Sus scrofa: one gene and its partner. The protein of the gene in region 1 interacts with the protein of each later gene in a pairwise test. Links are inferred from orthologs where the notes say so. Each region holds a gene or a part of one and is shown in the gene's direction. Other genes may lie near its edges.

Region 1 (3,563 bases):
GAGCAAAAATGAGTAGTTTTCTGGTGTTTGGCCTACTCTGTTGGGTGAGAAAACCTTTCTTCTCTGTTTTCATGGTTACATGCTCTATCACATGTCTTTTTCTCTTCCCCAAGTTTCCCTGGAACCTGGGCTCCCCGAGACGCAGCACTGGAGCAGATGGATAATGGAGACTGGGGCTATATGGTGAGAGGCTTTTGCAGATGCATTCTGAAGTCTGGCAAATTATTTTTTGTGTCTTTTCCCCCTATGTAATATATTCTTAGGTATATTTCATAAGAATGAAAATTATAAGTGATGTAACTCTCCCAATTAATTTAGATGCATTTGGGGGGTGTTTTTATTTTGTTCAGTGTTTTTAGGTAAGCAAGCTAAACATGGAGTCTCTTTGTAACTTTTTATGACTTGTTTTTTCAGTCTTTATGTTGCTCCTAAAGCTCTTCCTTCATAGAATTGTAACTCTTCAGTGTCTAGTAGGTAACAAGAGAGGACAGGGAGTTCCTGTCGTGGTGCAGTGGTTAACGAATCCGACTAGGAACCATGAGGTTGGGGGTTTGGTCCCTGCCCTTGCTCAGTGGGTTAAGGATCCGGCATTGCCGTGAGCTGTGGTGTAGTTCGCAGACGCTGCTCGGATCCCACGTTGCTGTGGCCCTGGCGTAGGCCAGTGGCTACAGTTCCGATTTGACCCCTAGCCTGGGAACCTCCATATGCCGAGGGAGCGGCCCAAAGAAATAGCAAAAAGACAAAAAAAAAAAAAAAGAAGAGAGGACATTTTCTTGTGGTTGGGGAGGTTGACAGTTGAGAAGGTGCCACTTCTTTCACGAGCACAGGTGCAGGTGTCCTCCTATTATTTGAAAATGTTTGTTAAGAAATATTTTACTTGCCGAGTACCTATCTTTACTTGTCTTATTTTATTTCTTACATGTGATTTCTAAAACCAAAGGTAGGTATTATTTAGAGAAGCTTGCTTTTCAAAATTAAAGGCCAGATTGCCACATTAATGTTACAAAAGTAAATACACTATCAGATGACGCAAGTTGAAAGCTGCTATTAGCTTTCGGCTATATGAGATTGTATCGACCAAACTGTGTATTTTAAACTCAGTGTTTGGTACTGTTATTTCCATGAAAAAGGAAGATGAAGTCTACACAAACTGGAAAAAAAAAAACCAAAAACCTCATGATTCCCCTGCCTTTTTTTTTTTTGGGAGGAAAAGACAAAGAAATACTGAATGTAGATGTCTTTATGTTATTAAATAATTTTGATTCTATTTTATATTAAATTGAATTAAGAAAAAAAGAAAGTCTCTTTTTTAAAAAATCAGAATAAAACTTAAATGAGTATATTTTAGTTTGGCCTTTCTCTTCCCATAATATACTCTGACCTGAAAACTTCTTCCAGTTACTGGATCTGAAATTAAATGGCTTTGGAAGCTGTGTCCTCCTTTCTCAGTGTAAGGCTTTGAAAAATTGGACTTACCCTTTTTTTCTGTTGGAAACAAATGTTAGATCCCTTCATCTGGGTAGGTTTCACACTAAAAGTAAAGCTATTTTGCCTCAGTGGATTGCTGTGTTCTAGTCTGAAAGAATCTGTTGCTTTTTTTGTTACCATTAATTTTCTTAATTTGTCAAAGTTAAGATTTAAAAAAAAAATTGAGATGACTGATCATTTTTTAAAAAATTTCAGATGACTGACCCAGTCACGTTAAATGTAGGTGGACACTTGTACACAACATCTCTCACCACGTTGACACGTTACCCGGATTCCATGCTTGGAGCTATGTTTGGGGGGGACTTCCCCACAGCTCGAGATCCTCAAGGCAATTACTTCATTGATCGAGATGGACCTCTTTTCCGATATGTCCTCAACTTCTTGAGAACTTCAGAGTTGACTTTACCCCTGGATTTTAAGGAATTTGATCTGCTTCGGAAAGAAGCAGACTTTTATCAGATTGAGCCCTTGATTCAGTGTCTCAATGACCCCAAGCCTTTGTATCCTATGGATACTTTTGAAGAAGTTGTGGAGTTATCTAGTACTCGGAAGCTTTCTAAGTATTCCAATCCAGTAGCTGTCATCATAACCCAGTTAACCATTACCACCAAGGTCCATTCCTTACTAGAAGGTATATCAAACTATTTTACGAAGTGGAATAAGCACATGATGGACACCAGAGATTGCCAGGTTTCCTTTACTTTTGGACCCTGTGATTATCACCAGGAAGTTTCTCTTCGAGTCCATCTGATGGAATACATTACAAAGCAAGGTTTCACAATCCGCAACACCCGAGTGCATCACATGAGTGAGCGGGCCAACGAGAACACAGTGGAGCACAACTGGACTTTCTGCAGGCTGGCCCGGAAGACCGATGACTGACCTTCAGCCTGGGAGAAGTTCCTACAAATGGACTCCCCAAGGAGATTGAAGAGGCTGTTTTTTGTTTGTTTGGTTTTTGTTTTTGTTTTTTAAATCACAGTGTGAGGATTTTTTTTTTTTTTTAATATTTGTATTTATTTGAAGGCATTGGGGACCAGCAGGAAGTTTTGTGCTTTAGCAGACTCCTCTTTGTGTGGTTCCCTTCACCCTGAGTATGCATGTGCCTGTTCAGAGCCTCCAGATACCTTTTTTATAAAAAGAAGTCTGAAAATCATTATGGTATATAATCTATCCTTAACAACCCTTTTTTTATTACAGTGCTAAGATGATTTCTGATTAAACAGTTTCTAACTCAACTAGAAGGCTAAAAATGCAGGAATGAAAGAAAAAACGGAGTACTCATGATGATGCCTTTGAGAAAAATCAGAACATCATATAGGGTGACCTAGTTTTCAAACCAATAAGCAGTATTGTAATATTAAACGAAAACTGTTCAATCATTTAAAAGTACTTGTTAAGTACTGCTTTTACAGTTATGACAACTGTTTCTTTCTATGCATATAAATCAAGCAACCAAATATCTGTAGCCATGGAAATGTCTGACTAGAAATATTTATATTGGATTCTGAATACAAAATGTCCCTGTGGTAGAAATCTTACTTCTTAGGCCTGGTAAGGTATAATTCCCAAGTGTACTGTCTACCAGGAAAACAAAAAACCAATAATAAAAAATGAAATGTGAAAATTAGGTTTGTATTTATTGATTATTATTAAAGGGAGAAAATAATATTCCTTATCTAAAATATGCATTGTTTGTTTTATGCCATAATAGATACTGCCCCGTGTTGGTGGTTCAGTGAACAATTCTTGCCACCCAATAAATACTGCCTGAGGTACATTAGTATTTGATGCTGGAGGACTCAGTGGAACTTTAGAATGCAGTTGATAGAATTCTCTGCTGTTGAAGTAGCGAATTTATGGAATTATTAGTTTTGTCTAAAAGAGTGCATATTTGGACAATGAACATATAGTTTGCCAAATTTCTTTTGAATAGGACTTGTTTTGAAGATTTGTAGATTTTTCTTTAGTGAGCCACCAATTGCCATTGCTCTGTGACCCTTATTCCAGCTCTATGGACAAACTTGACTCTTCGGCCCCACAAATGTATTTTATTGTTAAAGTTGTTTATTTCT
Region 2 (4,270 bases), on another chromosome or scaffold:
ATGATAGATGCTTTATCATTGGTTGTAGTTACTGGGCAATGATGAGACACTGCCACTATTTTTGGGCAGGGTAGATACTGGTAGATACTCATTGAATTTATACTATATGGCATACATTGTTTTAAGAACTTTGTGTGTATTTTAATTACAACAGTCCTGTGAGATAGTTATTATCTCCATTTTATGGTTAAGAAACCGAGTCACAGAAAGGTTATATAACCTTTCCAAGGTCACAGAGGATATAGTACATTTACTTGAGTAAGTGTACTCACAGAGGAGGAAAATTTGAAGCCAGTCAGACTACAGAATCTATGCTCTTAACCCCTATTTTATTTATTTATTTATTTATTTTTGTCTTTGCCATTTCTTGGGCCACTCCCGCGGCATGTGGAGATTCCCAGGCTAGGGGTCGAATCGGAGCTATAGCCACCGGCCTACACCAGAGCCACAGCAATGCGGAATCTGAGCCGCGTCTGCAACCTACACCACAGCTCAGGGCAACGCCAGACCCTTAACCCACTGAGCAAGGCCAGGGATCGAACCCGCAACCTCATGGTTCCTAGTCGGATTCGTTAACCACTGCGCCACGATGAGAACTCCTATAATATAACTCTTAACTCAGAAAAAGAATACTTGTTTTTATCCTCTATTTAGGTCAAGCGTAAAAAGGGAATGGATGTCTTAAGCTTCAAGTTCACAAATAAATTGAATTTTCTAGACGTGAGACTTTCTTTTCCTTACACATGCTGTTATCTACTCTAAATATATTGCTTGTTTATGGGATATCATTTATTCTCCCACTCAATGCCACATTATTTTGATTTGGGGATAAATGAGAAGACTGATTTTCCTCAATAACCTAGAGGATTCAGTTTCCTTCTCATTGAAAGCATACACACTAAAAAGTATGAACAAGTCCAAGCATTTATTTTTTCCTAATCAGCCTAAATGCATTTAAACCAAAACAATGAAATTGAGTGTTTACCTCAGATATCCCCTACCATCCCATTCAAGACATTGTAGTCCTGTTTCTAGGATTTCTCTCTCCTTCCCTTCTTGTCTTCCTTTGGGAAAATGCTTTAGGGTAGAAAGCAACAAACTAAATAGCAGTAGGCAAATAAAATCAGCTTTTATTTGCTTCCCCACCCAAAAAGGAAGGAGTAAGAACCCCAGCATCAAAGAGAACTGACGCGCTTAGGCCCTGTCGTTTTAAAAAGCCCTTGTTCCCTAAGCCCCCTTCCCCTAACCCCCCAGCTCTGCAGTAATTCCTCAGAGATCGTACAGTCTCCACTTTAAATATAAATATATATAAAACTTCCCCCTGTCTCTTTTTCCCCTCCTCTCTCTCCTTTTTTTTTTTTTTAATTCCTATAATAAAGTTTCCTATTGGATAAAATCAGCTCCCTGATTTATGCCTGGCTCCGATTGGAAGTTCCCAGGGGCTGACATCACTTAGGAAAGCGAGGGGTAGGGCTGCCAGATCAGTTTGTCACCACCCAGGCTCCCTAGCCTTTGGCTGGGTGCAACTTCCATTTTAGGTGTTGGATCTGAGAGAAAAAAAAAGAGGGAGAGAGAGAAAGAAGAGCAGGAAAGACCCTGAAAGGAGGAAGAGGTGGCGAAAAATCAACTCCCTTGCTGGATTTGTCTTTCTCAGCACGTTGACGAAGGCTTGGGTTTCTTTCTTAGAGGACTGGTTTCTAGAAGTCCACATTTGAGGTGTGTGCCTTTTTAAAAATATGTGTATAGATGGGTGAAGGAGGATAAGCCAAGTCGAATTTTTGTCTTAAGGTAACCGGAGGGAATTTAGAAACAAGAGATTCTGTTACGCTGATGGGTAACTTTTAAGCGGTTATTAATTTTCCTCATTTGGGGAATTTTGGTATTATATTTGAAACAAAGTAAAATATTCAAGAACCAGGAACAAACTTCTGGGTCTCTCTAATATAGGGAGATGAATAGATTCGGAGGGGTGAGGGCAATTCTGTAAATTTGCATTTTGGTGTGTTCTTTTATTTCATATTTTTTTTCTAGGTTAGGCTAACAAACTTCTGTTTTCAGAGCCCAAACCAAAAGTTGGGTTTTTTGGCATGTTGCGTGTGGGTTGGGAAAGGAATTTGTCCGGGTCGGAAGCTAGTTATTCATGTTTTAAAACTTTTTTTTCCCTCCCTTTAATCATTGGATTTGTGAAAGTGGAAAGTTGCAGGGAGTTTTGCAGCTTAAATGGTGGTATTTTTTCCTCTGGAGTTTGAACAGCCCAGATCAGTTTCAGCCCTGCTGTTCCTGGGTGGATCCTTCTTTTACTTTTCCAGGTGCGGTGGGTGGGAGCCTCATTCTCCGGCTAGACTTAGCTCCCTGCTTTGCCTTATAAAAGAAAACAAATGGATCCATGGTAACTGAATCGCCATCTCCTTCCTTCTACAACTACCTTGATGGCAAAGGTTTGTGGAGGTGTAGGTTGAGTTGGCATGTACGATAACCCTTGGTTTCTGTGCTTAAAGGGATAAGGAAATTCTAATCATGCTTTTGCGTTCACCTGAGTAAAGTGGCGATACACATGAAAATATTTTGAGCTTTGTGCTCTCTGAAAGGGCCTTGGATTAAAATAATGATAGGCTAAGACTAAAATACCTATACCAACTTTAGTGTTTAGAAGGCATTTGAGAAAGCAAAAGGGGAATTCTTACTTTTAAACCAAACTGAAAGTTGTTTTTTGGAGGTGAGTTTTTCCTTTGGTTAATTAGCCATGAAATCAGAAATCTGTAAGAGCTGAAGGCTCATGACTGTGCTTTCATATCTTCTATTTAATCTTAAGATTAGTTTTTGTTTTGCAAATACATTCTTTCAAAAATACTGATTCTAGATAATTGTATAGCCAACTCATCAGTAACTGAAAACTGGATGTTTTCTTCCATCTTCTTTGAAAATGAGAATCAGTCTGAAAACTAACTGCAGTAGATACTGCCCTAATTGTAAAAAGATGGGCCTGTGTTAGCTGCTCATTAGCTTTAAACTGGTATGTATGTATAATAATCCTCTGATTTTGTGCCCCTCACCCCTCAATTCTTTTTAGACTAGAATACTTCCTTGGATTTCTTTTCCAGAACAAAAGTGTTTCTTGAAAGATGAGTTCATTCTTACAAGGTTGTGTCTTCAAGGGAAACAGAACTTTGTTTCTCCGTTTAATATAATTTATGCAAGAGCTACAGTAAGATTTTAATGTCTGTATAATTAGGAGTATCTCCTAATTATAGCAAGCGCAGTTACAAAGAAAAAAAGGACAATGTGTACAGTCCATTGGGCTGTAGTTCTTATTTCATTTCCAAATTTTCTTTCAAATGCTCTCTCTGCCTTGACGCCAGCCTAAGGGGGGTGGGGGGGTTCTTGGATCTTTGGAGGATTGGTCATGTTGCTGCCAGAGTGTTGGTTTCCCACTCAACCTTTAGGGGGAGGAATGAGGGAATTTGAAGGAGTACAAAGGCAGTTTGAAAATAGGTTCTGGCTGACTGAATGGTAGTAGTGCTTTGGGTCCAGCTTTAAATACTGGGCTTTGTGTAGCTGCAGTGAGCATTCTAGTTGACTAGCGACCAGGACTATTTCCACGAACTGAGGCATTGTTTTGACTGGGTGTGTACTACTGGAACCTTTTGGATGATAAGATGGAAGAAGACTTGTCTTTTACCTCACCTCTACCTGTTCTTCTAGGAGATATAATAAGGGATGTGAATAAGTAAATCTGTTATTTTTTGTTTGGCTCCTCATTTTGACTTGGGGGTGAAAAATGACGAGTAAGTATGAGTTGTACAGATTTTTCTTTGCTTGTGTGACTCCTATATACTGTTGGTTTCTTTGTTACATGACTAAGGTATGGCCTGTGTTCCAGGTGGGGGTCTCTTTTGGATGCTTAGAGTCCTAGTGCCTTTCCTAGAGTTCCAATTATGGAGAGTCAGGGGGTTAGAACATATTCTTTCAGCTAGGATAAAAATTGGAAACCTTTAAAAAAAAAAAAAGCTTCGAGTAATCGCAATTCAGCGTTAGGTTTATAAGGTAGTTGCTCTCTAGGGATGAGAGATGGGATGGATGTGCAAATACATTAAGCATGGAAATAACAAAATGATTAGCTTTGTATAATTTACTGCTTTCTATTTTGGTACCTGGTAGTCCCCTGTTACCTACTGCCAGCCCTCCCTCCCCCAACCCCCGGCTTGTTTTTTTGCTGAGTGCTAAGCATTTTGCATAAACTATTTGCTTAATTTTCCACAACAACCCTTTG

Evidence for each region.
Region 2: the proteins of KCTD6 (region 1) and CTNND1 interact in binary tests that used the Homo sapiens proteins (3 or more experiments, as listed by UniProt). The two-hybrid records come from large-scale screens. The link is inferred for Sus scrofa from reciprocal best matches to the Homo sapiens genes KCTD6 and CTNND1.

Annotation. Positions count from the first base shown.
Region 1 is NC_010455.5:40,216,974-40,220,536, forward strand, and holds the end of KCTD6 (BTB/POZ domain-containing protein KCTD6), read left to right. Parts: exon of another isoform or gene 1-113; 5' UTR 114-156; coding exon 157-183; intron 184-1,683; coding exon 1,684-2,370; 3' UTR 2,371-3,118; downstream 3,119-3,563. UniProt on the Homo sapiens protein: Probable substrate-specific adapter of a BCR (BTB-CUL3-RBX1) E3 ubiquitin-protein ligase complex mediating the ubiquitination and subsequent proteasomal degradation of target proteins.
Region 2 is NC_010444.4:13,206,431-13,210,700, reverse strand, and holds the start of CTNND1 (catenin delta-1), read left to right. Parts: upstream 1-1,469; 5' UTR 1,470-1,716; intron 1,717-4,270. UniProt on the Homo sapiens protein: Key regulator of cell-cell adhesion that associates with and regulates the cell adhesion properties of both C-, E- and N-cadherins, being critical for their surface stability.